4 linked regions of the Xenopus tropicalis genome follow. The protein of the gene in region 4 interacts with the protein of the main gene of each other region in a pairwise test. Links are inferred from orthologs where the notes say so. Each region holds a gene or a part of one and is shown on either strand. Other genes may lie near its edges.

Region 1 (7,785 bases), about 49 Mb from region 4:
AAACGTAACAGAGCAGTGTTCCACCATTTTCCCAGGCATCTTTAGAATGTTATTGTTGCTGACATGAAACAGAGTTGATTCTTACTGGACAGTATGACTGAACATAATTTAGAACTTTATCATTCATTTGCCATTTTAGCATTATTTTCTCTCAGTCATCTTTTATACCCCTTATGGAGCTGGTTATCTTACTTTAAATTTACAGGTATTTTGTATGTGTTGTCTTTTTATAGTTTGCTTTAAATATTTTTTCCTTTGCCTCTACAATGAAAAAAGGAGCAAAGAAATAAAATCAAACAAGCAAAACTAATATGTTTGTTTTAGCGCCAGTATGTATTTCATACGATATGTGGACAGTCTGATGACTGATGAACAAACTGCTTGATTTTTAATGATGTACACCAGTAACAGTACAGTACTTATAGTGCATACCCCCCAACTGTCCCGCTTTTAATAGCGCATCCCGCTGTCCCGGATAGTTCCATGAATGTCCCGCATTTCGGGACAGCGGGATGTGCTGGTTGGAGAGGCTCCTTGTGGCGGCGACAGGCCCTTTTATAAAGTTGCACCCCGTGCGTATTGACATCACACGTATGCAGGGGGCCCAAACTTATAAAAGGGCCTGTCGCCGCTGCATAAGGAGCAGGAGCCGCTGAAGAAGAAGGAGCATCTATGGGGGGGAAGGGAACTGTCTATGGGGGCACTGTCTATGGGGGGTACTGTCTATGGGGTCAACTGGGGGCACTGTCTATGGGGTCAATTGTGTATGGGGGTAGTTTCTATAGAGGCACTGTGTATGGGGGCTACTGTCTATGGGGTCAATTGTGGGCACTTTCTATAGGGGGTACTGTCTATGGGGGCAATTGGGGGCACTGTGTATGGGGGGTACTGTCTGTTGGGCCTTTGGGGGCACTGTGTATGGGGGGAAAAACTGGTACATAGTTATAACTCACTTATAACTGACTGCCTTCTCACTATATTTGTATTTTATATTTAGGTGTTGCTATATTGTTTTCCTTAGGTAGTACAGTATGAGGGTATAGCAAATTTTGCGTCTGATCCCACCATTTCAACTATATAAAAGGAGTATTTTTTGAAAAAAAATGGGGTGTGGTAATTGGGGCGTGATCACAAAAGTGGGCATGGTCAAAAAATTGCGCGCTAAATCTTTTTGTCCCTCTTTTCATTTTTCAAATGTTGGGAGGTATGATAGTATATTAGTGTACTAAATACTCTGGGTGTGTAAACTGTGCATTTTTGGTAGGCCAGTGGTGCTCTTAGCATTTTTTTGTCTGGAGTAGATATGCCAGTAGAGAAAAGGCTGATCTGCTCAAAACTGCCCTGGTGCAAATATGCATCTTGACAATTATATACTGTGCTGCTAACATACTTTATTTTGCTTAGTTTATATTTTCTGGGATGTGGTGTAGGGTGTTATTCTGTTTGAGAGTTTATTATGGATTGCAGTCAGTGTTGAGCCTAAAGAAATTGCAATTGGGCCCCCATCTGCAATGCACCCCACTAAATGAGCACCCTACCTGCCATCCCTATAGCGATAATGCATGCTGCTGGGCCCTGTGGGACAGGCCCTGCTGCATTTATACCCCCTGCCCCAGCTGTAGTCACACCACTAATTCCAGCATGGCTTTTACTGAAATAAGTTCACTGTATTCAAGTGGACTGTGATTCTAACCTGGAGGGGCAGATTTATGATTGTGCAAGCCTTTTTTCCCCTGAAGCCCTGTGTGAGTTCCTTAACCCACATGGGGCTTTTTATGATTGCTGGAGCCGAAAGGCTTGAGCAATCATAAATCTGCCCCATAGTATTCAGACAAACTAAATCTCACCCCTTAAAATAGCAGTTCAGTGTAAAAATGAAACTGGGTAAAATAGATAGATTGCGCAAAATAAAAAATGTTTTCAACATAGTTCGGAAAAAATGTAATCTTTAAAGGCAACCAATCAGTAATTTGATGGGGGAGTTGCATATGGGACATAACTGTTTAGTTAATTAGTTGAATCTGACCAGCGTGCTCACAAACTAACTGAACAGTTTACTGTCCCATGTGCCCCCCCCTAAAGTCATTGACTAACTAAGAAGTTAGAGAGCTAAAAGGAGGAAGTAGTGTTCTGGCTATTATGTTAGACATCTATTGACTCCAGCCTTTATAGATTACATTTTTGTCTAACTAACAATATTAGAAATATTTTTTATCCATTTTACCCAGTATATTCAGTCAAACCTAAAGATAAATTATGTGGTGCATCCCTACTGGGTATAGCAATGTAGGAGACAAATTGCCTCTGAAACTGCTTTTAGACATGTACCAGCCCCTAAATGCTTTGACAAACATATTTTTTTCCAGTAGTACTTTCTCTTCATGTGTCACTGAACTTGAAAAAGGCAATGTCCTCCTTTAGCAATAGTCATGTTAGATGGTGTAATATGAGTTTATGTTGGACATGCAACAGATGGTGTAATTATAGTACTTTATGCGTATGCTCCTGAATGATGGTGGAAGCCTTATGCGCATGAGTTCTTTATACACATCAAAGATTTGATGAAATGCTCCTATTATGATCCTGAAAAGTAGGAAGAATAAGATAGTGACATCCGATCTTTCCCTGTGCCTGACCCCTGCTGTTGCGGCTTTTAATATCTCAATATTCAGGGACAGTATAAAAACAGAACAACAGAAGAATGGTAAGGGGATTTGGATTAGGAGCTCCCTAAAGTCATGGGGAATAAGCAAACTATTTTCACTGCTGAACAGCTTGATACATACCAAGTAAGTTTCTTACTCTTACTTTCTAAAACTAGAAGGTTTTTGTTTCATGTGTTTGGTAACTTAAGTATTAGTTCTTGCATAAGGCAAAGGTTTTCCTTAGATGCTAAATGGCGCTATTTATATATATAAACCAAGATTTATCTATTTTCCAATAGTAATTTTTTTTATGTATTTTAAATGCCACACCACAACAGAGAGACTGTGATATATCATTGTTAATATTTATATTAAATATTGTTTTTTTCCCATCTTTATACATTAATCAGACATGTTCACAAGTGTACTATAAAGATTCAAGTCCACTTGTGATTTTCTAGGTTAGAAAATGGTATATACAGTGCTTAGCATTTAAGTAGCAGCTCCATCATTTTAGGATTTTTAAAAATATACTATTCTTTATTTTTATAACCTCAACATATTCCTGCCGCACTTTACAGAGTTTGTTATTTATTTACATATGCTCCATTGCAGTTTTTCAAAGGAAAAGTTGAAAGCATCAGTATACCAGCTTTAGGTTTCTTGTCCCTGTTTTACAAAAAACTGAAATATTGAAAGCTGGCATAATTCAAGTATAGCCTTAGAAGACCAAAACACTGCATACCTACATGTAAAACCTATGTATCATTTTAGGCTGATTACACATGGAGCATTTTCTTAGCGAACATAGTTCAGCCAGCAGAGAAGTGCCCAAACTGCCCTAGGTGCATTCCATTATTTGTAATAATGACCCCCTGACACTGCCAATACTGGAGGTTTTTTAACCTAAAATGCTCTAGGGTGCATTTTAAGAATGAAAATGGCCAGTACTAGAGTAGGTGGGAGATTTCTCAGTAGGCAGAAATATGGATATAAAGCACTCTGTTTGCCAAGAGCCTTAAAAATCACTCATTTATACTTTTGCTAAATGGAGCCGTAGATTAGAACTCAAATATGTGCTGTATAGATATATCTTATTGGATAGAAAAACTACTTTAGGACAAAAAATGATTGAAGTGTAACGATTACAACAACAAAAATTACTATTTCTTCAATAGGGATGGCAGTTTAGAATGTTAAAAATACAGGGGGTTGTGGTAGCACTCCAAGTCCAATTATCGAACAGATAAAGTGTAAGGGAAGTGTTACTGATCTGACCAATGCTGCTCAGTACTATTTTCATTATACTTTGATCACAGCCCCCTGTATCTATATATTTCAGTGGAGTTATTTTGCAAGAACGAAGACCTAATTTGCAGGTGGTTGTAGCACCCCACCCAGTATGTAAAAGGCAGTCTTAAAATTTTCATTGTTTGGCCAAAAATCAATTCTTTAAAAACACAAATGCATTTACAAAGAATAAATTTCTAGTAAAACATAAAGACCAGGGAATATATATTAATCAATTCCTTTATTAGAATCTAGTCTGCATGAAGTCAATAATTAAGTGATTTCCAACATAACTAGATATGCATTGTTGAAAATGCTAGTCATCCACTGATTAGGTAGCAAATATAAAGGGCAAAGTAAGATTTACATGCAAACCTAGTTAAGTAATTCTGATTTCACATTACAATACTATGCTAGTCCTGTGGCCTGGTTTTCTTGGTTTCTGATACCCCTTCAATTCGTATACCCATTACAGTCACAAAGTCTTACCTCATTCAGTCTTGAGACCTAACCTAATATAATGAACCTTCCTGATCATGTCCTCTAGGCTTGCCTCTAAAGGGTAAACCCTTTCCTGGTACAGTTCTGGTCTTTTGCCTAACCCAGTCATTCAGCCTTACCTTTATGATTTCTAAAGCTTTATTGGTTTCAGCCCAGTAAGTAGCCTTACCTTGCCTTTTGCAGTCCTTCGGCACTTGTAGCTTCATCTTTTACACCCCTATGGTCCTGCCAGTCCTTCAGCCTTCAGTCCCTATCTGCTTTCCAGAGCCTTATCTGTTCCATTTCTGTAACCTTATTTGTTTCACTCCTGCTGTCTTAGCCATTTCAGTCCTGCAACCTTAAAGGGGACCTAGTTGAGTAAAATAAACTTGATTTACACTGTATGAATTATTTAAATGTTGTTTTTTTCAGTCTTGGAATTGACAATCATAGCAGGTAGGCAGGCACTATTTTGTGGGTACTGTTATTATAGAGATACTGACACCAGAAATGCAACCTTTTTTTATATTTATCATAACATTGTCTTTGCATGCTATTTATAATGTTGTACAGCTTTTTATGTCTGGGTGACATGACCCCTTTAACCCTGTAGCCTTACCTATCCTGGTCCTATTAGTTTCAGCCCTGCAACCTAAACTCAATTTCAGTTAAATAAGCAACCTGTTTAGGGCATGTTATTTTGTCTGTGAAGTCATGAAGCCTTACTTTTTCCAGTTCAGTGGTTATGCATATTCCAATCAACCTGCATTTCCAGTTACATAGCCTTACCCAGTACTGTTGTCTCTTTACAGTTCCATGGTACAGTCTCTTTAGACTCTGCAGTTTTATCTGTTTTTCCAGTCTTGCAACCTTGTCTAGCCAGTAGTGTAAGCTCATTAATATACAGGCCTTACTATGTTTGGTGTCTGGAACCTCAGTTAGTCACAATATTTAAAGCATATCAAAATTAGTAATTAGACATATTAGTCTTCTTTAATTGATGAAAGTTGATGATTTAAATTATCCTGCTATCATGTCTGGTCACTGCAATACTATATATATATATATATATATATATATATATTAGCATGTAGAACACAGAGCACTCATGGGACTTAATTATGTGCGAAAATGTAATGGTGTAAGTTAAAGGTCCTATGAGTGCTCTGTGTTCTACATGCTGATATTGTTTTTTGAGGCAGCACCTAGGCCTTTCTCGCCTTTTTTTGGGTGAGTGCACTGCCTTTCAAACTATATATATAATTTGAACACCCTGATCCTTTTATACTCATTTTGCCTTAGTTTACTCAAGGGTCAATTTTGAATTCGAACCTTTTAGGTGCTGTTCAAATTAACAAGCTTAAATTACTTATAGATTTGATTTACTGTGTCTGGCTTTGTAGACTGTTTGGGGGGACAGAAAAAAAGTGATAATTTTTATTTGTTTTAATTGTAGGATTGCACCTTCTTTACAAGAAAGGAAATACTCCGGTAAGCAAGGCCAATTACTGTTACAAATAATATTTGTATTAAATTATACATATTCTTTAAAGTATGTAATGTGCACACCAGCAGCATTACTACTACCATAACTACCCTGCAACCACAGGACAGCCCAGGTCAGAGGTGGGCTTGGGGTGAGAAGTTTGCTGTATGGTTTCAACTGGAGCTCCTTGTCCACTCACTGCACAAACTGCCTGCTGGTGGATACTGATGGTGTATAATTGGATGGGGGGCCATGGGAAACTTTTCTGTAGGCGGCCCTGCTCCCTATCATTATGCCACTGATGCACGCCAGCTACCATACAGCTAGTGAAACTGATGCAAACAAAAAAATCTAAATTAGCTTAGAAAAAAGCAAGCTTTGTATCTAATTCCCCCTAATGTCCATCTTAATGTACTGGTCTACCTACATGATACACTAACAGAGATTTCTGTATATTTACTATATGTGCAAATATCCAGACAACCACTGCCAAACTTCAAAATGTCTCTGATATGGAGGCTATGAAAGATAAATCCATTTAAGGGGGTGGGGGGTACATTTTGTGGTAAACTGCAGCACTCATCACTAAAAAATTTCCATTTGTTTCGGCCTCAATGAAATGAAAAATTGGGGGTAAAACTTGTGGGGATTCTGATGCAAGGTCTATGGTTGTTTTCTAAAACATCCATTCAGCATTTGTAAATAGATTTTAGCAACACTTTTTTCTGAGGCCCTTGCACCATAAACGGTTTTCACTAAAAAGGGACATGTATTACACTCACTGCATATGACATCTTTAAGAATCAATTAATGTAATTCTTATTAAATACTTCATTACTTTGTCCATGTCAATTTTAATTTCTGATATAGTGTTATTTTTTTATCCGGTGCTTAGAGCAGAGTACGGTGCAAAGTGCAGCGCAAGTGTTCCTAGAACGAGCACTGTGGGACATGTACTTGCACTTGGGCCCCCCGGGGTTTTAAATGACCCCTTATATTTTCTGGTATTGATCGATGGCTAACACTGTACAACACTCTGTTACTATAAATAAACAGGTCTAATAATTAGTAGAACCCCTATCAGCTGCTTGACATGAAAACATGACCATGAAAAATGCATGATGTGAAAAAATACAGGTGCTTCTAACTGACATTTTCTGTTAATTTCATAAAAATATTAGAATTTCTGATGAAGTCATGAAACCATATGAAATGTGGATCACTTATCCTGACTCCAATACAGTTTGCCAGTTTGTAATAAAGGCAAGTTTGATACCCTGCGTTGTTTTTTTGGCTGGGGATTATATGAAACATTACACTCAATTACACTCAATAGTAGATTGGGCTGAAATATGACTCAAGGCTGTGGAGTTCAGCAGAAGGGCAGTGGCACTGTTCTTGTAACGATAAAGCCGGAGTTCTGCCAAGGATATACAGTGCTGAGAAACCATTAGATGGTCTATGTTTCATAATAATGTGTATATTTTATTAATAGCATGGTTACAGCCAAATCTTATTATAAGTCTGAATAAATCACCCAGAATTATATATTATGAAAAAAACACTTGTAACGTTAAAGAAAGACAATACCCCCAGAATATTTAAATTTAGATTTAGTTCCGCAAGAACATGTTATTTTAAAGGAACAGTAACACCAAAAAATGAAAGTGTATAAAAGTAACTAAAATATAATGTGCTGCTGCCCTGCACTGGTAAAAGTTGTGTGTTTACTTCAGAAAGTCTACTATAATTTATATAAATAAGCTGCTATGTAGCCATGGAGGCAGCCATTCAAAGGAGAAAAGGCACAGGCACATAGCAGATAACAGATAAAATACTATTGTATTCTACAGAACTTATCTGTTATCTGCTATGTAACCTGTG
Region 2 (7,027 bases), on a different chromosome or scaffold from region 4:
ACTCATCAGATTATATACCCTTCTCTCTCCATGTTCCTAACGAACCTCCATATTTCTGCTCAGTCCTTCCACTACATACTGTATATGCCCATTTCAGTCCTCTTTGAGTTTGTCCCTCACTTCTACTGGCAATGTCTCAAACAGGGAGGGTTCCACAGTCAAGCCCGATCTCTTTAGGCTCACACAGTTCCCTAGCTCAGGAGGTAACGTATCCATTCGGTTTCCTTTGAGTTCTAGTTTTACCAGGCAAACTAAGGATCCCACCTTCGGGGACAGATTTCCCAATCTGTTTTGCCCTAGTTTTAAAGTTTTTAGTTTTTGGCAGAAAAACAACTCATTGGGAAGATCCTCCAAAAAGTTTCCACTTAATCCAAGGTACTGAAGTAGCTGCAACACCCCGATCTCTGGAGGAAGCTCCCGGATTTCATTGTTAGACAGGTCAAGGTGTCTGAGCTTGTTACAGAGGAACAGCTGGGAGGGAATCACCAGAATTTTGTTGCGATTTAAGGACAACTCCTCAAGACCCTTTAGTTTACGGATATGCTCCGGGATGTAGGCAATCTGGTTGTGCCACAAACGAAGAACGCTGAGCTTCCGACAGTGTTGTAAGCTTATGATCTCCTCTATTGTGTGAAGGGTGTTTTCCTTTAGGTCCAACACCTGTAAGTTAGTGAGGCTAAAAACTGCATGGGGAATACGTTCCAGTTCGCAGCGTACCAGTTCAAGTTCTTTGACGAGAGCGAGCCTCTTCAGAGCATTAAGGGTCAGGAGTTTCGTTCCATCGTTGTGAATGCTAAATTTTTGCAAGTGGCCGGCCACATCTGCAACAGTAGCTGGGATTTTAGAAAGGTTACTCTTTATTGTAAGCACCTTCAGACTCTTCAATTCCCTTAGACTTTCTAAAGCTGGGTTTTTAGATAAGTCCTGTGACAGCCAGCCAAAGAGGTGGAGCTCCTCTAAAGCACGAAGACTGAAGATCCACAAAGGTATCTCTTTAATGTCGTCAAACTTTACCTGCAGTATCCGAAGGTGGTCCCGAAGGTAAGCCAAGGAGGCATGCTGAACTTTGGCTGTGCAGTTGATAAGGGACAGCTCCTCCAGCCTCACCAGCTTAGATACCAATGGTGGGATAAGAGCCTCATTAACCATCTCCAACTTAAGTGACTCCATCTCTGCAACCTCAAAGACTGTATCTGGCAAGCCTGGGAGTTTGAAGAGATGCAGCTCAAGTCGACCTTCTGGTGTATGCTGAAGTTTTTGTCTCAGTTTGTCTGCTGGCCACTCATGGTTGAGATTCAGTTGCCGCAGCCTGCTTTCACTCACCTCCGATAGAAATACGGCAAACCTTTTGGAGTAGAGAGAGTCATACTGATCAACCAGATGTAGCACAAAGGCAAAGTCATTCTTCACATCAGGAATATCCCCTATTCCAGTCTCTTCTCTAACTGACCGGAAGGAATACTCCTTTAGAGGGCGTCGGAAGAGCCAGTACAGAGTGTAGAGGCAAGTGAGGCCATAGACACCCAAAAAGCACAAGTAGGTTATAGCTAATTTGGAAAAAAGGTGGGCCTTAGTGTGGTTGCAACAGAAACTATTGTAGCCAGTCATATCCTCTGTATGAACACTGCAGGGAACAATGAAGTGAATCTTTCCCACCAAAACTGCATTGTAGATTGTTATCAGCACAAATTTACACACTTTTAGCACAGTCTGACGCATGTACATCGAGTAGAGCAAGTCACCCTCTTCCACATGATGCCGAAACTTCTTCACTTTCTCAAACAGGGCTTTGGCTTGTTCCCCCTCTTTCTTGTCCAATACACTAGCCGAAGAAGTCTCAGCCACTAGTTTTTCTGCAATTGGTAGGTCAGCAGTAGCAGGGCTGCCCTCCTCAAAGTTTGGTTTAGAGAGCTCTCGATCGATGCTCCTCTCCTGACTGGGTTTCTCCTGACTAGACTCTCCCGAGACTTCAGACAGGGCTCGTGTAGTCCAAGGGGAGTCAAAGCACTTGCCGAGTATGGAAATGAAATGTTCTATTTTGGAACTGGTGCCTGGGAACTTGAACCAGAAGTTCCCACAGATGATAAAGATCAAGGTGTGAATGACCACTAAATATGGAAAATATTTGGCATACCAGTGCAACGCGGTCTCATAACACATCTGATTAATGAAGCTGTACTGCTGGAGGTCTAGGTTGTTGCGTAGACCACTCATCTCCCGAGGAGGACTTGAAGTAGCAGTTGGTGGTGGAATAGTTGTTTCAAGGTCGCTATCATTGGATGGGGGCGACTGTTGGTCATACTCCTGACATGTTATTTGGGAAACAACATCAGCAGAAGTGTGGTTGGGGAGGCAAATGATCTTGTCTTGAGTAACCTGGGATGTAAACATAGAACAGCTTCAGCAAGGGAACAAAATGGCACCAAAGCAACAGAAAATGAACAATAAATGCAAAAGTGAAGCTGAGAATTGACTGGTTGGAATAAAATTGACAATAGGATGTGGATTAAAGAAAACAAACTTTCTATAAGAAAATGATCTCGAGCAGTAAACTGTAAAAAGAAATCCTAGGCATACATGGGCAGGTCATGGGCAGGCACATGGTGGTCAATCAAAATGTAGTTATACGGGGTAAGTTGAATGATGGTAGGCCAGTCTATCACTTTGGCATATTGTGCCACACTAAAGTACATAGAATGGTGGTAGGCCAGTCCATCACTTTGGCATATTGTGCCACACTAAAGTACGTAGAATGGTGGTAGGCCAGTCTATCACTTTGGCCTTTCATGCCACAGTATGGTACGCAGAATGATGGTAGGCCAGTCCATCACTTTGGCATATCATGCCACAGTAGAGTATGTAGAATGATGGTAGGCCAGGCTATCACTTTGGCATATTGTGCCACAGTAGGGTACGTAGAATGATGGTAGTCCTGTCTATCTCTTCGGCATATCCCGACACCGTGTTTTTAAAACTTAGGACTAAAACAGTGGTTCTTAAAAGCAATACTGTTGGCATCTTTTGTACCCCTTTTATGAATACCATTTTCCCGTGGACATAAGGTGATCATACACGCTGCAACCTCACCAAACAAGCTGATCTGCTCCCAATATGCCCATCTAAGGTGGGCAATATCAGGCTAATGTGATTGTTTGGCCCTAGCAAAGGACTGCATCAACGAGCCGATGCGGTCACCAATCTGATTGGAAAATCAAACTTGCCCAAACAATATCAGGGCAATTTTTGGCCAGTTATCGGTCGGGTAGGCCCATACACAGGCAAATAAGCGGTCTAAAGGACCTGAATTGGCAGCTTAAATCTGCCCGTGTATGGCCACATTTAAACTTCAGAATTTTTTTTCAGACCTTGTGTCTGTGTTATTCTGTAGTAAAACCGGTGTGTAAAGCTATACAGATGCCCCAGGTTGAAATTCTATGCAGAAGTGTCGCCCCCAGGACCCTGTGTGCTGGGTTAGTACTTTGTTTTCCTTAAAATGTTAAATTTTCTGTTATAGTACTGAATATACAGACTTGATCCTCGCAGAGCACAGCAGACCTGGTCCGGAGGATGGCACTTCTGCAGAATGTGAATGAACCTGTCAAATAAAGGGTAACTGATCCTGCTCTTGAGAGAGGCACTTAAATATGATTGAATTTGAAGTCCAGCAAGAACAACAGTGACACCACCCTGCTCTATGTGCAGAAGGAGATAGTAAACAACACATCAGGAAAATAGTGATAATACAAACTTTTGACATAAGCTCATTCAATTGGCTTATATAAAAAAAGAACTTTTCTGCCAAAAAAAAATGAATATTTTAGCCTTTTTTCAGCTGAAATCTGATCTGTGCGTGGTGATAGAGTACCTGGAAGTGTATTCTAAAGACTGGAGCAGAAGGCAGTGGATTTCTTTGTCGGTATAAAAATGTAACGTGTGGCAAAAGCCTCAATATCCATCAGTTGAAAATGGGGCAAAGTGAGGGAGGGGTTGGATTACACTGTGAGCCTAAGGAGGGTTGGAAAACAGTTTGTACGTAACATGGTTTCCTTCCAATCTGTGGAAATCTACAGGGAAACCCTGTCTGTATTCAAAATCCACTCTGTACAGAGTATAAAGGGTAAATAGCAAGGTCTGCATTATTTCCTGATGTATTCATAAGCTGCTGAGGGCAGGGCCTCCGTGTAACCGGAATCAGAAGATACACAAAAGATGGGAGAACAGCACAAAATAGCAAAATAAAGAAAAGAATGGAAAGATTAAGAATGGAATATGAAATTCCCACCTGCAAGGTACAGCCAAAGACCCCGATCATGAGCATGGCGTAAGTGATATATTCAGCCAGGACATCCCACCAGGGCTTGAGGACTTTAAAGGCTGGCTGCTGCTCGGTGAATTGCTTGAACTCTGCAACGGGAATCATTCTGGCAGCCTAGAGAGCTGGAACAAAGAGAGAGAATTACGTTTATTTGCACAATCTTCGCTCTTAAAGAGATACTAACACCAAAAATGAATCTTACTTACATGTGCCATAACATTGTCTTTGCATGCTATTTACTCTTTTGCCTTAACTCTTTTGCCCAATGCTTTTACATTATCAGATCCCCATGTTCCTCTATGAGGGGGCGGCCATATTTGTCGGTTAGCATTAGAAGCTGTAACTGACAGGCTGAGAAGGGACAGTCAGGTTGGCAAGTAACAATTACTTACAAAAGCAGCCCTATCAGTGAAAAACAATCTACATGACCTATAAGTAACTTTTAATGTACATTAAAATTTTGAAGAGCAGTGTTTTAGTGTCAGTATAACCCTGCTCCATTTGTGACACTACCGTTTGTCTTCCCCAACGCAACATTACACATCCCAACAAAATCTCAATATATATATTCTTCACATCTGCGCTCAAGCAACTAAACTAAACTCATTCTCTCCAGTTTTATACATCAACTCTGCACCCATTGAAATAGACTTTGTCCTCTCTGACTCCAACCGTTAGTTCTGCACTCCATCCCTTCAGCCTTATCACATCTACACTCACCCAGACAGGCATAACCATCCTCTCGCACTCTACACATTGCCTTTGCACTAATGCACATTACCCAGCAGTCTCTCTATTTAAAATTAACTCTCCAGACCTTCTCCAGACCTTTTCCAGGTTACTTCTCCTGCTTTCTCTCTCATTCTTTCTTTGTGGACAGAGAATAGAAGCTACGCTCTCCTCTGAGAAGCCACAGAGTTTGTATAGTATTTGTTCCTACAGAGGCTGCTCGGTAACATGTTATCTTTCCCCTGCAGGCCTACTCTCTTATCAGGTATAGGCAGGACCCCCTCCCCTTCATCAACACTGCACGGAGATGCACTGAGCAATGGGCTAACAATGTTATCAGGATAACAAATAGGAATAACTCTACAAGTTCCATCCATGTCTTCAGGCCTTTATCAAGATATTAAGCAGCTACAGGTATGGGACCTGTTATCTAGAAGGCTCGGGACCTGGGGGTATTTCCGTAATTTGGGTCTCCATATCTTAAGGCTACTTATATATCATTGAAACCAATAGGATTGTTTTGCCTCCAGTAATTTTTATAGGGGGCTGTTCTGCCCCCAATAAGGGGTAATTATATCTTAGTTGGGATCAAGTACAGGTACTGTTTTATTATTACAGAGAAAAGGGATTCATTTAACCATTAAATAAACCCAATAGGGCTGTTCTGCCCCCAATAAGGGGTAATTATATCTTGGTTGGGATCAAGTACAGGTACTGTTTTATTATTACAGAGAAAAGGGATTCATTTAACCATTAAATAACCCAATAGGGCTGTTCTGCCCCAATAAGGGGTAATTATATCTTAGTTGGGATCAAGTACAGGTACTGTTTTATTATTACAGAGAAAAGGGAATCATTTAACCATTAAATAAACCCAATAGGGCTGTTCTGCCCCCAATAAGGGGTAATTATATCTTAGTTGGGATCAAGTACAGGTACTGTTTTATTATTACAGAGAAAAGGGAATCATTTAACCATTAAATAAACCCAATAGGGCTGTTCTGCCCCCAATAAGGGGTAATTATATCTTAGTTGGGATCAAGTACAGGTACTGTTTTATTATTACAGAGAAAAGGGAATCATTTAACCATTAAATAAACCCAATAGGGCTGTTCTGCCCCCAATAAGGGGTAATTATATCTTAGTTGGGATCAAGTACAGGTACTGTTTTATTATTACAGAGAAAAGGGAATCATTTAACCATTAAATAAACCCAATAGGGCTGTTCTGCCCCAATAAGGGGTAATTATATCTTAGTTGGGATCAAGTAAAGGTACTGTTTTATTATTAGAGAGAAAAAGAAAATTATTTTTAAAATAAGTATTATAATAGAATTATTTGGTTGTAATGGAGTCTATGAGAGATGGCCTTCAAGTAATTTACAAACTTTAAATCTCGTTGTTTACTATGTGACAATGACAATAAAGATATATTCTATTCTATTCTATTCTTTCTGGATAATAAATCCCATGTAGCTGCATTATAACAACCTTTTTAGTAGCGTTACAATTGGTCTTTTTGTCGGCTAATGGCATGCAGGGCATTTTGGCCATTACTGCATTCACAGTAAAGCAGTGGCAGGCAAAGGGGCAAAACACCAATGTCCGCCTGTTGTCACTTCAAATGTTATTAAATGGACCATTGAGTGTGTTGAGTCTGTTGGCCATCAAAACACTCCATGTGCCATCACCATTATTTATATAGCGGCAGCAAGGTACACAGTGCTTCCCATTCATTCACAACAAACTGGGGTCTTACAATCATTTAACAAACAAGGGGTTAAAGAGTTTTCAGGGTCACTGACCCCAGCAACCCAAGAACTGATTCGCTGTGAGGCCACCATTATAGTTTTATTACAATACAGTTATACTGTAAGCAATACCTTTTGAACTTTTAGACTGTAAGCTCTTTTGGGCGGGGCCCTCTTTACCTCTTGTGTTGGTTACTGATTGTTTTTGCATGTATTCTACATGTTTAATGTAG
Region 3 (7,921 bases), on a different chromosome or scaffold from region 4:
CCTAATTCAATGGGAAAAATCAAACCTGCCCGCTCGAGATCTGCCCAATTTTAGGCCAGATATCAAGTGTATCAAGCGAAAATGTGCTTATGGATGCCGAGGGACACTGGAGAACACAGCCACATTAAATGCACAAAAAACTTGCACCCAAAAAGTCACACACTAATAGCCCCATGCCTAGAACATTTTAGCCTTAAGTTGCCATCAGTTTGCATCAAAACCGCACTTGAAGCCGTAAATAAACATCCTTGTCACATTTGAGAAAGAGGGACAAATACAGACTTCGATCTATTGGCAGAGTGCAAGTATGATATTGTTTTTCATATTGGCTTCTTAATAAATGTCACTAGACAAAAAGGGTTAGAGAATGAACATGCTCCTACTAAAAACTCAAAAGTTTTAGTAAGGGTGCTGCACTTCATCATAAGGTAAAGCTTTACTGGCCACATTGTATCACGTCAAGGACAAAAACTCTGCACAGTCCCATCAACAATGTCCACAAGTAAGCGCAGAAAACAACATAATAGAAATGGTGACCAAGTACAGGTATGGGATCCCTTATCCAGAAACCCATTATCCAGAAAGCCTGTCTCCCATAGACTCCATTTTAATCAAATAATTACAAATTTTAAAACTGATTTGCTTTTTCTCTGTAGTAATAAAACAATACTTTGTAATTGATCCAAACTAAGATATAAATAATCCTTATTGGATGCAAAACAATCCTATAGAGTTTAATTAATGGTTTAATGATTTTTTAGTAGACTTAAGGTATGGAGATCCAAATTACAGAAAGACCCCTTATCCGGAATACCCTTGGTCCCGAGCATTTTGGATAATGGGTCCTATACCTGTACTGCATAACTTATGATAGATATGGAGTGTATGATCATATAATCACCCTAAATGACTGTCTTATAAAACACTGACAATGTCACCCCCCAAATTCTATAATCAGAAGTTGCCTTGCCTACTTATAAACAACTAGACTAAATGAACAACAGTAGCTGTTGAATACACACACACAAAATAAATGGAAAACAAGCTTCAATGGCGTTGTGGAAATATGCATTGCTTACACTGAAAGTAGGGCACAACCGCAAGCTAACAGGGACAAAATATATTGTTTTAACATCATGACAAAACTGATAGTATATACTGTATAACAAATTTCTTCTGCTGAAATTGAATTTTCCTTATAAGACACAAGCAGCCCTTTTTGGTGGCAAATGGGTTAACAGTCCTCAATCAAGCCTGTGATTTCAAAGCATTGATTTGAAATGCTAAATAGCACAATATGTGCTGGGTGAAATAATACAGAATGCTACCTGCTGGCTTTTTGTTGAATGCCAAGAACAGCACATTGCTCATTTAAATCCAAATTAAGGATTGCATAAAATACTAAAATATACCTTAATAATATGTTTAAGAGAACCATCATAAATTCAGCTATGTCCAATAAAGGGTGGCAAATTGTGGCTAAAAAGCAGTTGAAGGGAGTGTGTGACTCTGGAGCCCTTGGCTGCCTTCACAGCATCAAACATTTGACAGGCCCGCTGCAGAAATAAAACAAGCTGTCCTCGTCAGGCTCTGTTTGGACAGGTCCAGTGCCCAAGGTTGTTTCTGCAACAGACTTGACCCTTGACAGGAATCTCAAGGTAAGCCAGCAGGGAAAAGAACTAATGGCAATCCAGAAAAACCTCTAAGCGCTGCTATCCTTTCCACTCAGGCAGCCAATGCACTATTGATTCCCCATCCAGGCACTGTGAAATGACTGGGAAACCTTCATACCATCAATATGGTTTCTGACCTTCCACTACGATCATAAATTGTTTTCCTCTAAGAATAGCAAAAATTGGATTGAAACAACTACAGCATAAGGCGTGCTGCCTTAGACATAAAAGGGTTAATGCTTTGTGGATTTGCCCCATACATTCATAATACAAACAGCTTGAAAACATAATAGAGATTGCATCCATCTAAAGCCTGAAGGATTTATTTAAACTTGCAGAGTCAGATACACAAGCAGGATATTATTTAAGAAAGATATGTTTAATTCAAATGATATGATGGGTCCACTGACTTTATATTTCTGTTTAGGCTTGAGATAAAACCAGCAAGCACGAGCACTGAAGCAGACATAAGACTCTCAATTTAAACAGCCCTACGAGCCATGTCCATCCTTAATCTCGCTGACTGTACAATAGTCTAGCACATCCAGCCATACAAAGAATGCTGTTTCTTACAGACACCATGTGAACATGACAGCTAGCACAGCACAGCCCTCATTAGCACAGGTCATTTTAGGAAGCCTGAGTTGCAAGTGCCTGCAGACCAGAAACTGCTGCTATCTTACGTGCATTCCACTTGTATATATACATGCTTTTTCCAAAGCGAACATGGCACCCTTTAACTAACAATGGCTGGTATGTTGTACAGTGGATAATGAAAACAGATAGCTCCTCAACAAACAGTGGAATGAGGAAGGAGTCAATTTAAACCAAATATGCTCCCAATGTAAGAGTTGGCACATAGCAGCGACAAAAATCTACGATTATCTACCATTATTAAAGTAGCCTATTGACCTGAGAATTGTCCGGTTACTATGCCATCAACCTTATTGTCTTAGGAACTCTACTGCAAGAAGGGCTTGATTGGTGGTAGAATTCAAAGAGCATTCTCTCCTTTTGCACTGGATCTCTAGGCTAAATCCAATCTTCCATATAAATCACCAATGAGAATACTAAATTGCTCCCCACAACAATGTGGCCTTTGTCAGTGTGGCCTTTATACATGGCGGTGTCTTTCAAAATTTAATAGCATACATACAAAACAGAAGAATGGCATTATATAAAGACATGAAGCAATGAGAAACCCTGATGTGCCTTGTAGCAGTGATGTACCTGGGGCCCTCCAGTGCCGGCTGAACTACAACTTCCAGCATCCCCCACAGCCTATTGCACTGTACTGACTGAGGCAAAAGCAGACACTGATAATGGGAAATGAAGGCAGCGCAGCGGTAGGCAAGCATTGCTGTGATGTTTAGCCATCGACCATTCAATACAGCAATGAATTGATTTGCCCAACAGCCTCTATGTGCACATTCAGCAGATATACATAGAAATTGACCCCTTCCCCTACTTGTTAATAGTCCGCCCCACTCCTGAGATGATCACATGAATGCATAATGCTAATATTGCGTTTTAGGCTGAATATACTCGGTTTCTATGTACATCTTTATGTGTAAGTGGCTCACCAAATGCGATATAATGATGAGTGGCTTTGTGCCTGTTATTCACACACTGTTCTGCTATGGCTATTCCATTCACAATAGGAGAGCACTGACAGCAGCAAACCAGATGAATGAGCATTATTGTGTATAATAATCACATATCAGTGAGCAGCACAGTGCGGGCTGAATAGACAGCTCTCCATCTCGCCCCTAGGACTGGCACAATAAAGAGCCTATCAGCCCGGATCCCCCGCAGCAGCAGCAGCAGCTTCCCACAATAACCCCCCAGAGACATCACTCACCCTCAGCGCCGACAGATCTATCTCATCCAAGCTACGAGCCGGGGAGTCGCTCGCCATGTTTCCTTTTCTCTTGTATATTGCACAGAGCTCCCCGTTCTTCCCACCTTGCTGCTTCTCCCAGAGCCGAGCCCAGCATGCGGCGGTCCCGCCCGAGCCCAGAAGGTGTGCGGCTTGCGGTGCTATGAGAGAGGAGGCGGGGGCGGCTTGCAGTAGGACATGCTTGGGCTCTGCCTGTATGGCAGCTGCATTGAGAGGAATAATAAGACACTCTCACACTCACAGAGCGGAGGGATGGAGAGGAGCTGCTGAAACAAGCCTGTCACTGCTTCCTGGGAGGAGCCACACGCCAAACTAGGTGGATCCGTCCGGAGAGATGGTGCTGCCCAGCGCCGCCTTTTCCTCTCACGGTCGAGGAGCGTTATCTTATAGAGCGTGTGGGAGCGCTATCTTATAGAGCGTGTGGGAGCGCTATCTTATAGAGCGTGTGGGAGCGCTATCTTATAGAGCGTGTGGGAGCGCTATCTTATAGAGCGTGTGGGAGCGCTATCTTATAGAGCGTGTGGGAGCGCTGTGTGAGAGGGGCTCCTTATACTGCAGCAGGTGCATATAGCTAAACAGCCTTGCCTGGGGGGTGGGGGAGCTGTGTGTCCGGTATAGAGCAGGTAGCTAGCAGTAAGGTATTGCAGTACTTGGAGTATTATTATTTATATAGCGCCAGCGTATTCCGGAGGACGGTACAATGCAGTGGGAAAAGGAACAAACCTTAATCTCGGTACTAGGTCACCAGATCTGGATGGAAAGGCAATATGAAGAGTAGCTGGTTATAAGCAGGGCATTCTGGGATTGGCCGGTATATGTAGGCGCAAAGGAGCTGTAAGAATGGCATGGGGGGGGGGGGGCTGGGCAATATGGAGAGTAGCCCAGAAACCCTGGGCAAGGCATGCTGGCCTATAACAATATAAAAGATCAGCCTAGCAGTGGTAAGGATGGCAGGCAGGGATAGAACAATATAACTTGCCTTGGAGAAACCCTAAGGGCCATGACACACGGGGAGATTGGTCGAATGTCATCCTAGAATGTAAATCGCCGGTGGGATGGCATGCGCAGCTCCGCGGTTTGCCGAAGTTTCCTTGAGAGGAAACTTCAGCAAATTGCGGCGCCGTGTATGCCATCCCACCGGCGATTTACATTCTAGTCGGTGGGATGGCATTCCAGACGCGACTAATCTCCCAGTGTGTCACAGCTCTAAACCGTGGCAGACGGGGAGATTAGTCACCCGCGACAAATCTCCCTTGTCGCGGGCGACTAATCTCCCCGAAATGCCATCCCACCAGCGAGAATGTAAATCGCATACGCGGCCCCGAAACCCCGTGCTGCGTATGTGATCCCACCGGCGATTTACATTCTTGCCGTTGGGTTGGTATTTCGAGGAGATTTGTCGCGGCCAACTAATCTCCCCGTCTGCCATGGCCCTAAATAGGGCATACTGGGAAAATTTAGTTGAGCTGTAATTAACAAATGGTGGAATAGGGAACCATGCAGAGCATTTGAAAAACTAGTATCAAAGTATGCTGTTAGGAGTATATTAGCTTAGAATCCAAAAATAGTATTTGTTGGGATAAGCCAGTCAGAAAGCAGCAAGCTGAATAGGGCAAAATAAAGACTCCAAAAAGGCTATAGTGAGTTAGTGCTGATTGAGTGTCTAGTGCAGGGCTCCCCAACCTTTCTTACTCGTGAGCCACAGTCAAATGTAAGAAGACAAAATAAAGGCCAAGATTGGCTATTAGGTAGTCTCTATGCACACTATCAGTTACAGGGGGCTTTATTTGGTAGTAAATCTTTTTTTATTCAACCTAAACTTGCCAAGTCAGAAATTCAAAAATAACTACCTGGTTTGCAGGCACTGAGAGCAACATCCAAGGGGTTGGTGAGAATCATGTTGCTCACCAGCCACTGGTTGGGGATCACTGGTCTAGGCGGAGTTACATATGAAGCATGCAGGAGCTGGACTGTTAGGAGCTACAGAAGATTTAGTGCTATGAGAGTAGGTCCCAGCATGTTTGTATGTAGTTAGGGTCATAGATAGGCTTAGAACCAGAGAACATGCATATAGGGCTTATATGTAAGTATTTTGAGAAGAAGAAACCAATAAAGCATGTGGAAATACAGAGCAAGAGTATGTTAATTTGCAGCACCCGAAGAACAAGATATTTGTGTAGTATCTGCTTACTGCAGTTTGCCCATTGCCCAAACCTCTATCATTCAGTGCCACAGCTGTAAGCCACTGTGAGGCCCCCTAGTTCTCATACAGTAATCTATCTACTTATCCTCACCCATCAAAAGCACTTGTAGGGACCCATAGGGTTAATCTGCCCCTATTGCTTTAAACCCTACTACTTCCTTAGTTTATGCTGTTACTGGGAAAAGACCCATGTATCTAGTTTATCCTTTGCTATTATACCTTATTGCTTTATTTGGTTGATCACACCCCTTGCACTCCAAAATAGTGCTTAGCAGGAGTGTGTGGCTTCCTCTGTGTCTCAGGAACAGGTCACTAGCCTGGGATCAGAACAAGGCCCCAGTAAAGTCTTATTGCCCTAGGGTTACCATCTTATACTCTAGAGAAGTCGGGGACAGGGACCCCGTGCACAAGGACCAGTTAGATAGTTACTCTTTTAAGAGCATTCTCTAGGAGAGTGAGATAGAGAGGGATGGAAGCAAGCACAGTTTCAGCTCCACCAAGGAAAGTAGCTGGAAGTATCCCTCCATACAGGCAATGTTGCCAAAGCATAGGGCCACGGTTAAGACATAGATGACAGGCAGTACTTAAACCCTGATCCAGAGTCAGCTGTAGGACTCTTAAAGCTAGGGACTCTTAAAGCTAGGGGCTATCAACCTGAGGACTGAGGTATCTATCCTGACTGCTTCCAAAGGGGTGTCAATCTGACCAAGTGCATTTACCCTGCCCAGACTCTAAAAGGAGGTGGGATAAACCGGTGTGCATCCTCTCTTGTTGTCCTCAGAGTACTACTATCATTTAACATCTGTATCTACATTGTGAGTATAACCCTGCATTGCTACTTGTCTCTGACAATAAATCTGTCTATAGTTTAACTGCAAGGACCTTCTGGTGTCCATCTTTGCTAATCTGCACTGCACCCTTGCTCCGCAGGTCTCTTCCATATAGCGAAGGCCCATCCTGTCTAAGAGAGTCACGTACCCCATGCTCTAACACCTACACTAGCCTGGGTTTTGACTATTTTATAGCCAAATAGGGCTTACAGACTCATGAGTGGTAAATATGTTTCTGGCACAGTTAAATAAGAAAAGTTTACTATAGGCCTTATCTTTCTGTCCTAATTTAGGTTTGAACACATTTAAATTTATTTACAATGTTTTATAGACAATTTAGATGAAAAGTTTATTTTCAAGAGAATATCATGACTAATCCTAAAGTTGATTCAACAACCACAAATGAGTTGTCTGCCAAAAGGTTGAGCATTTTATGCCTACTACTTCCAAACATCGTGTAGAGAATTTTTTTACTTTGGTACCGAGACGTTTGTTGATAGATAAATATTCATAAAACATTGAAGAATCCAACAATCTTTATACAAAGCAAGAAGTGTGACCCAGTCTTTAATGTTACACAAAGACATACACCCATACGTGATAAAAGGCACTAATTTTGCACGGCAGCAGTTACCCATAGCAAAAAATAAGATGTTTGCTTTTAAACAGGTAACCAGTAAATTCTACCTGCTGATTGGTTGCTATTGGTTACTGCTCCTGGGCAAATGCAGTGCCTTTTATTACATAACCCCCAATTGCATGTAAACCAGGGGACAAGGATATGCTATGGTTATTTGGTATAAGATGTCTTCACTTTTAGCCTCTTGGATATAATTCCTTAATATACCCCTTGAGAAGTAAACCAGTTTCTTTGATTAAGTTTAAACGTTGCAATACACTGCCAGATCTCGGTAAACAATCAGATCTGGACCCGATTTAGGCAAATCAACTAATCCAATGGTTGCCCCTTAGGAAACAATTGGATTATACACTGAGGAAGTCAACTACAGAAGTCTATGGCAAGAGGGACGCATCAAGAGCCAATGCAATCCTTATACACAGTGCTTGTCTTAAGGAATTTCAAACTTGCCTGATTGATATATGGCTAGATATGGGTCAGCAAGGCCCATTAGAGGGCCCTACACATGGGCTATATGCTGCCAACTTAGGGCATTTAGTTATTCATTGACAGAAACAGTTTAGAGGGAATAGTTTTCAAAAATGTGGCAGAGTATTTGATGTTGCCTCACAGGGCCACTGTTGCAGACTGAAACACTGCCCTTTTAATGGGGGCTGGAGGGCTACAGGGGCCTGT
Region 4 (7,287 bases):
AATCTATACATAGAAGTGATACAGGGTTACAGATGTTGACACATTTTCCATCAATAGACATGATTCTATGCAGACTGGCAAAAGGTTCAGTATTTTATGGCCAGAGTTTTTCTCACACGAGGGCTTTGAGAAGATAGAACGGTTCCCTAAATGAGCCTTTCAAAAACTATAAAACTTAAATATTTTTCTGCTTCTAAGTCAGATAGAGAGCAGATCCTCTTAGGCACTGCAAGACTTACGATTTCTCTAATATGCACCGTAAACCATGCTCATGTTGCCCACCAATCCTGTTTTTTTTGCCTAATAATCCACTGATTTTAACCCTTTTGTTTTAAAAATACATTTTTGCTTCTGGGAAATCGCATCGCCGTATATGCCACAATTGGTGATTTACATTCAAGCCGGTGGGATGGCATATCGGGTGCCACAGCCATGTGCTCTGATAAACTTCAGTCACATTTTCCTGCTGAGCTGCAAGTTGGGAGTAATATCACCCCCTCCCTTACCCCCCAGCAGCCAATAAGCAGAACAATGGGAAGGTAGCAAGATAGCAGCTCCCAATAGATATCAGAATAGCATCCAATAGTAAGAAACCCAAGTCTGGTTCAGGACTCCTTCAGTTACATGGGAGTAGGAGAAACAATAGTTTATCTGAAAGCAGTTCTAATGTGTAGCGCTGGCTCCTTCTGAAAGCTCAGACTCAGGAACAATACACTGAGATGGCTGCCTACACACCAGTATTACAATTAAAAAAATACATTTGTTGGTTTAAGAATACATTTTTAAATGGTAGAGTGAATTATTTGCTATGTAAACAGTGTAGTTTAGTAATAAAAAGTACACCATAAAAATCAAGACTGTATCCCTTTAATATGGATAAAAACAAGCTCTTGGACTCAGGAAGTCGTTATTTTGCCATTTATTGGTCAAATGCGATTTACAGAATTTCAAAGACATGATTAAAACATATCATTCCAGTGTTCCTTCAAAAAACTGAAAAATGTTTATTTTATCAAAATCTTACTTTAAAACAGACAAAGCTTTTCCCAACAGATCCACCTTTCCCTGATTTCAGGCAATTCTATAGCCTAAAACCATACATTTACCAGTTCACCTTTATGTTTCTTTTCACTACCAAAAAGATGTAAGGCAAAAGGTGTGCACAGGGGGAAAAAAAATTTTAGATACGATCCTCCCACCTTGATAATTTCTATTTTTTCAGATTCAAATTATTTCAATCAGATTATCAGAATTACTGTTGTACTCAAATTGTTGGAAAGTGCTATTAAGATGCAACTCACCCAACCCAATTTTCATATGGCTATTTATCCATTTCAAGGCAGCCTACGTTGTCTTTCTGCTTTCATTATATTAAGAACAATGTTTATATGTTAAGATGTCTTATTAGGAAGGGAGCATGCAATATTGTTCGGATTCCCTTTTTGCTTCCCTATAGTAAGTTATTAATAAAGCATGACCTCATGGGAAATTAGAAGTAAAAAAAAAAAACTATGAATACGTTTTAATATGAAACTTGTATTTTTTCTGTTTTATAAAAAAATAATATTGTCAGAATGCATGAAATGAAACAATATGTACTGAATGTATGCTCATTATATCAGTTTCCCACAGAATAAATAGAAATGCACATGGCCTTATAAGGCTGCTTAGATTTGTGTAATAATTACAAACATGACAACAGCTTAAAAATGTTGTACTGATTACACTGTTCTTTGCAATGCTATATTAATGTACAGTTGTACAATCTACTTTATAACACAACAGCTACCAATATACATGGATTAGAAGACTTTCAGATTTCAGCATTGGAGAGATATGTATAACAACTGGTTAATAATTATTTGGAAACTCGCATATGGAGTCGCCATTCCATGAGTATATATTCTAAAAGGTCTAAGACCTAAGTGCACAAGATGAGTCATTTACATTTTTGTGTTAAGGTTCCTCTAACATGTTAATGCCATCCCCTTGTACGTTTACAAGCCCACTTTGAATTCATAGCGATGAAACACTTTAAACAAAAGCAAGTCATCACCAGACCGTAAACGTGGTTAAATAAAATCAAAGTCTTTTGGAGTTCACTTCTTAAGAAGCATGATTTTTTTCCCAATCAATCTTGCATGAAGGTGCTGGTTCAAATGCAATGCAGTTTTACCATAAAGCTATGGCCCCTTAGCTACTGCAGGTATCGATAAACTTTGAAGCAATGGTTTCCCGAGTCTGCTACAACCACATGACCATCCGATGTCAGGGAAAGTCCCTGAGGCCCATAGAGTGGGTCAGCAGATGTATTAATATAAGATAAAAACGACCCACTTCCATCAAAAACCTAAAGACAATAATGAACGCAGTGGTTATAATATTATATATACATACACACACAAACAAATACATATATGAGAAATTATCATTAATACTTGGGAGATTAATCATTCACATTAGAATTAACCAACATTACCATACTATTTTGTAAGAATAAGGGGCAGGCAGGATGTGGTACGTGAACATCCACTTGAAATGACACATTCAAGCTAGGAAGCACCAATGTGTTGTGGTGCCATGTAATGACCACCTGCCTATGATGTTTAGTACCTGGCTGCCATTTCTATTCCAGTGCAAGGTGCATACCTCAAAGGCCACTGCTCAAGGTGCAGCGAGTAAGTGCACGTTACCTGTATCCTGCTGTTCCCCCAGTCAGCTACAATGATATTTCCATTGGAATCCACTGCAACTCCAGTTGGAGCATTGAACTGGCCATTGCCCTCTCCATTTGAGCCAAACTTTAATATGAACTCACCGTCTTGGTTGAATACCTGCAAATATCATAAATAAACTAAAAGTTAAAATATTGGTGGTTATGTATTAAAAGAGGAGATTTTGCTCTGGTCCAGTAACCAAACAATCATCATCAGTTATTAACGTATTGACTTAGTAAGACTTCTGGTATGAAATACTGAATGTGAAAAAATGCATTTATGTATTATGCATATACAACTGTGTGTTATGTTACTGGTCATTTATTGTTTAAATGAAAATGTGAGTACAGTATATAAAAAGTTAGTTACAGGGTTTCATTTATAGATTGAAATTTCCCCTCATTTTCTAAAAGAGAGGGAAAGGTTAAAACCATGTAAGCTTTATTATAACGGTCTATGTAAATACACCCAGTAACACTCACTGTGATACTGTTCTTAGTCCTCTCTCAGTTAAACCTTCATGCTCAAGGCAGCCTGTCTGCACAGTTTGCTCCCCTCTCCCTCTCCCCTCCCTGCTGTAATCTAAGTCAAGAGCTAAGAGAGACACAGACAGGAGAGGGAAGTGACACCACATCAAGCTAAAATGCCAGTTTCTGTCTTAAAGGAGAAGGAACATCAAAATCTATTAACCACACTATTAAATAGTACTACTATTGCTGTGTAAAAACGCTATATTTCTAGCTTGCCTAATGAAAGATTTACAGAGATACACTGCTACATTCTACATACTTGTTTCAGTGAACGGCGCCGCCATCTTTAACATGGCTTCTACGTTCACTGTGCCTCTCTCTCCTCAGCAACTGTCTGGAGCTGCATTCCCCTTGCCTCTCCCCCCTACCAGCACCGCCGCTCATGTCCCCCTTGCCTCTCCCCCCTACCAGCACCGCCGCTCGTGTCCCCCTTGCCTCTCCCCCCTACCAGCACCGCCGCTTGTCCCCCTTGCCTCTCCCCCCTACCAGCACCGCCGCTCGTGTCCCCCTTGCCTCTCCCCCCTACCAGCACCGCCGCTTGTCCCCCTTGCCTCTCCCCCCTACCAGCACCGCCGCTTGTCCCCCTTGCCTCTCCCCCCTAACCAGCACCGCCGCTCGTGTCCCCCTTGCCTCTCCCCCTACCAGCACCGCCGCTTGTCCCCCTTGCCTCTCCCCCTTACCAGCACCGCCGCTTGTCCCCCTTGCCTCTCCTCCCTACCAGCACCGCCGCTTGTCCCCCTTGCCTCTCCCCCCTACCAGCACCGCCGCTTGTGTCCCCCTTGCCTCTCCCCCCTACCAGCACCGCCGCTTGTCCCCCTTGCCTCTCCCCCTTACCAGCACCGCCGCTTGTCCCCCTTGCCTCTCCCCCCTACCAGCACCGTTGCTTGTCCCCCTTGCCTCTCCCCCCTACCAGCACCGCCGCTCGTGTCCCCCTTGCCTCTCCCCCTACCAGCACCGTCGCTTGTCCCCCTTGCCTCTCCCCCTACCAGCACCGTCGCTTGTCCCCCTTGCCTCTCCCCCCTACCAGCACCGTCGCTTGTCCCCCTTGCCTCTCCCCCCTACCAGCACCGCCACTCGTGTCCCACTTGCCTCTCCCCCTACCAGCACCGCCGCTTGTCCCCCTTGCCTCTCCCCCCTACCAGCACCGCCGCTTGTCCCCCTTGCCTCTCCCCCCTACCAGCACCGCCGCTCGTGTCCCCCTTGCCTCTCCCCCCTACCAGCACCGCCGCTCGTGTCCCACTTGCCTCTCCCCCCTACCAGCACCGCCACTCGTGTCCCACTTGCCTCTCCCCCCTACCAGCACCGCCGCTTGTCCCCCTTGCCTCTCCCCCCTACCAGCACCGCCGCTTGTCCCCCTTGCCTCTCCCCCCTACCAGCACCGCCGCTCGTGTCCCCCTTGCCTCTCCCCCCTACCAGCACCTGTGTCTCATGCTGCCGCTGCAGATGCTAGGGGGAGCCTCCTGTTTCTGCGCATGCGCTGCCTACAGTTCTAAGTCTCCGAGTCTGGGGATGAGCGATGCATTATGGGAATCTTCTCTACCCAGCTCAGCGTTTTTCCTTACTGTTTGGCTTCTGATCATCTGAATTAGAGAAATATGGGGAGACTTAAGGGCACTATTGAGATAACTGAAGGTATGCCTGCATTTTGAGATTAACTCTTTACTAGCCTTTCCTTCTCCTTTAAAACAGAGAGAGCTTTTAGGGCTGTTTACTTTGTAAAGCATTCTACAGAATAAATATAGCATTGTATCTTGCACAATTTTGACTAAACTATTAGGGAATCACCTGCATCTGTAGCTTTCCTTCTCCTTTAAGAATGTATTACATATACGTCTTGTTTTAGTATTGTTTAAAAGACTAGCAATGAAATATATTACTTTCTGCATAATTAAAAAAACTGAAGGCAGTATCTGCCTGTTATTTACTACTATAGTGCTTCTCCTGACAATCTAGCAGAAGACAGGTTTCCTCCAGCCAAGACTTAACTTTGCAAAATGCCTTCTGTACTTCTTCACAATTCTGTTAATCATACAGTATGCAAGGCATTGGGGAAACTGAAGTTATGCAAAGAGGAGAGATGACTTTTTATACACTGTTTATACACTGTTTTACTAAGCATGTATAGAACATAAATACCAAGATAGTTATGGCATTTTTATTAGCAAGAACATTTACAAGTAACTTTAAAATAATTTACTTTTGTGTAATTATCATATTTATTATTTTCTTTTGTTTTATTACGCAAATCTTTTTTCACTGCTCAAGGCTGATTGGCGACAGCCTTCCATGAAAACTTCCAACAGCCATTCTACTGTGTTATAAATGGCAAAATCAACATGGCCTTCTGGATAAAAGGGAATGGTATGCATCACCGTAAGAGTGCAGATTTAGCAATTTAGCAATATTTAGCAAAAACAACAAGTCTCCACAAAGAGAGAACACATCCTTGTACTCAAATTCAGTAGGCAAACCGCCACAGCTATAAAACTTTATCAAAATCGTCCACTCATTTTCAAGAAAAAAAATTCTGAATAAAAGCTCTATGTCAAACAAAGTTATCAAACATTCCCTAGTCTGTTAGTGCTCCCCCCGTTCCCCAGGTTACATTACCTTAACTGAGTGGTTATGAAAGTCCGTCACAATTATTTCATTATTACTGTTGACAGCTGCAAAATGAGGACCTATAAAACACAACAAGAAAGGTATACCTTATTAAAACCCCCCAAATGTGCAGCATTTATGTTAAACGGACTCTTTGTGGGCAATATAAATGATAACAATATGCAAGTATTTTTACGTTTCCACTTTTTTGTACCAGAGACTTAAATCTAGCTGTATAATAACACAATGACATATATACTAATTTAATAAAATTACGCACTTTAAATCTACTGTGGTGTATTTTTTGGGTTTTTTTTAAAGAAATATGCCGATTCCAAAAGTGTACCAATAGCCAAACATACAATTACTATTTTCACACTAGTTTCTTATCTATAACTACTTAAGTCTTCAGAGGTTTCTTTATGTGGCACGAGGATCTATAACACTTTTGCGACTCCATCTCTTTTATAAATTTGGTTAAAATCAGTCATAGTGCATGGGGCACATTACGAACTATTAGGTTGCCCTGTGTCAACTAAATTATAAGTTAATAATATTGACTGGTATGCTGTTCCAGATGCAGACACTCTACCATGTAATTATATAGACATGCATAATTGTCATTCCAACATGCTAAATTATTCCTACACAGCATGCAAGATATTAGAAACACACAACAAAGGTGGTCTAAATATTACCATCGAGTGTACCTGCAAACTGTTTGTCCCCATTTCCTCGGCTACCAAACCTGGTTACAATTTTTCCATTTGGCTGGAAAATAAACACACAGCAGGCTTTGTTGTCCACCACAATGATGTGGCCATTGCGATCAACAGAAACACCTTTGGGTCCCATAAGTTTTCCCGATCCAATTTTGGTCTTTTGAAAAAGATATTTAAAAAGTGTTAAAAGCAATAGCAAAGTGGAAAGCCAAGCCACACATATAAATACTAAAAACAAATACCTTAAATTTGCCATCTGCTGAGAAGATGCTGACCCACTTGTTATCATAGTCTGCAATGATGATGTCACCACTTGGATGTACAGCTACTCCTGTTGGTCGCTGTAGCTGACCTGGGGACCTGCCTCGAATACCGAAGCGGCTTTTAAACTGTCCATCATTTGAAAATATCTAACAAAGAAAAGTTGGCAACAAATTAGAAGAAGTTTACGCTTATGTTTTCACACAAAAAATTCTTTATGCGCGCCACAAATTTATTGTCTCAATATTTGTGTATATGAATGCACAGGCACACAGCTTAGAGGGAACATTGCTTTTAACTAATAAAGTGAAACAATGGGAATTACTACCCACATGTATGACTTGGCACTCGCAGGTCATCGTTAATGCACACATGCTCCCTAAATGCATGCTATCACTGGTTACCCACAGGGCTGTGTTTAATACAGGCACCCATATGTAGAAGGCTTTTTATTTT

The links.
Region 1: the proteins of trim2 (region 4) and cib3 interact in binary tests that used the Homo sapiens proteins (3 or more experiments, as listed by UniProt). The two-hybrid records come from large-scale screens. The link is inferred for Xenopus tropicalis from reciprocal best matches to the Homo sapiens genes TRIM2 and CIB3.
Region 2: the proteins of trim2 (region 4) and lrrc8e interact in binary tests that used the Homo sapiens proteins (3 or more experiments, as listed by UniProt). The two-hybrid records come from large-scale screens. The link is inferred for Xenopus tropicalis from reciprocal best matches to the Homo sapiens genes TRIM2 and LRRC8E.
Region 3: the proteins of trim2 (region 4) and tnik interact in a two-hybrid assay, tested with the Homo sapiens proteins (2 studies listed by BioGRID and IntAct). The link is inferred for Xenopus tropicalis from reciprocal best matches to the Homo sapiens genes TRIM2 and TNIK.

What each region holds. Positions count from the first base shown.
Region 1 is NC_030677.2:104,259,993-104,267,777, forward strand, and holds the start of cib3 (calcium and integrin-binding family member 3), read left to right. Parts: upstream 1-2,450; 5' UTR 2,451-2,738; coding exon 2,739-2,789; intron 2,790-5,871; coding exon 5,872-5,906; intron 5,907-7,785. UniProt on the Homo sapiens protein: Acts a an auxiliary subunit of the sensory mechanoelectrical transduction (MET) channel in hair cells. Plays a role in regulating hair cell MET channel localization and function.
Region 2 is NC_030679.2:134,108,829-134,115,855, forward strand, and holds part of lrrc8e (volume-regulated anion channel subunit LRRC8E), read right to left. Parts: intron 5,219-7,027; exon of another isoform or gene 5,133-5,218; intron 4,438-5,132; 5' UTR 4,421-4,437; coding exon 4,283-4,420; intron 2,377-4,282; coding exon 94-2,376; 3' UTR 1-93. UniProt on the Homo sapiens protein: Non-essential component of the volume-regulated anion channel (VRAC, also named VSOAC channel), an anion channel required to maintain a constant cell volume in response to extracellular or intracellular osmotic changes.
Region 3 is NC_030681.2:111,485,490-111,493,410, reverse strand, and holds the start of tnik (TRAF2 and NCK-interacting protein kinase), read right to left. Parts: upstream 4,079-7,921; 5' UTR 3,592-4,078; coding exon 3,535-3,591; intron 1-3,534. UniProt on the Homo sapiens protein: Serine/threonine kinase that acts as an essential activator of the Wnt signaling pathway. Recruited to promoters of Wnt target genes and required to activate their expression. May act by phosphorylating TCF4/TCF7L2.
Region 4 is NC_030677.2:55,131,710-55,138,996, forward strand, and holds the end of trim2 (tripartite motif-containing protein 2), read right to left. Parts: intron 6,981-7,287; coding exon 6,813-6,980; intron 6,728-6,812; coding exon 6,547-6,727; intron 5,929-6,546; coding exon 5,858-5,928; intron 2,835-5,857; coding exon 2,694-2,834; intron 2,351-2,693; coding exon 2,198-2,350; 3' UTR 904-2,197; downstream 1-903. UniProt on the Homo sapiens protein: UBE2D1-dependent E3 ubiquitin-protein ligase that mediates the ubiquitination of NEFL and of phosphorylated BCL2L11. Plays a neuroprotective function. May play a role in neuronal rapid ischemic tolerance.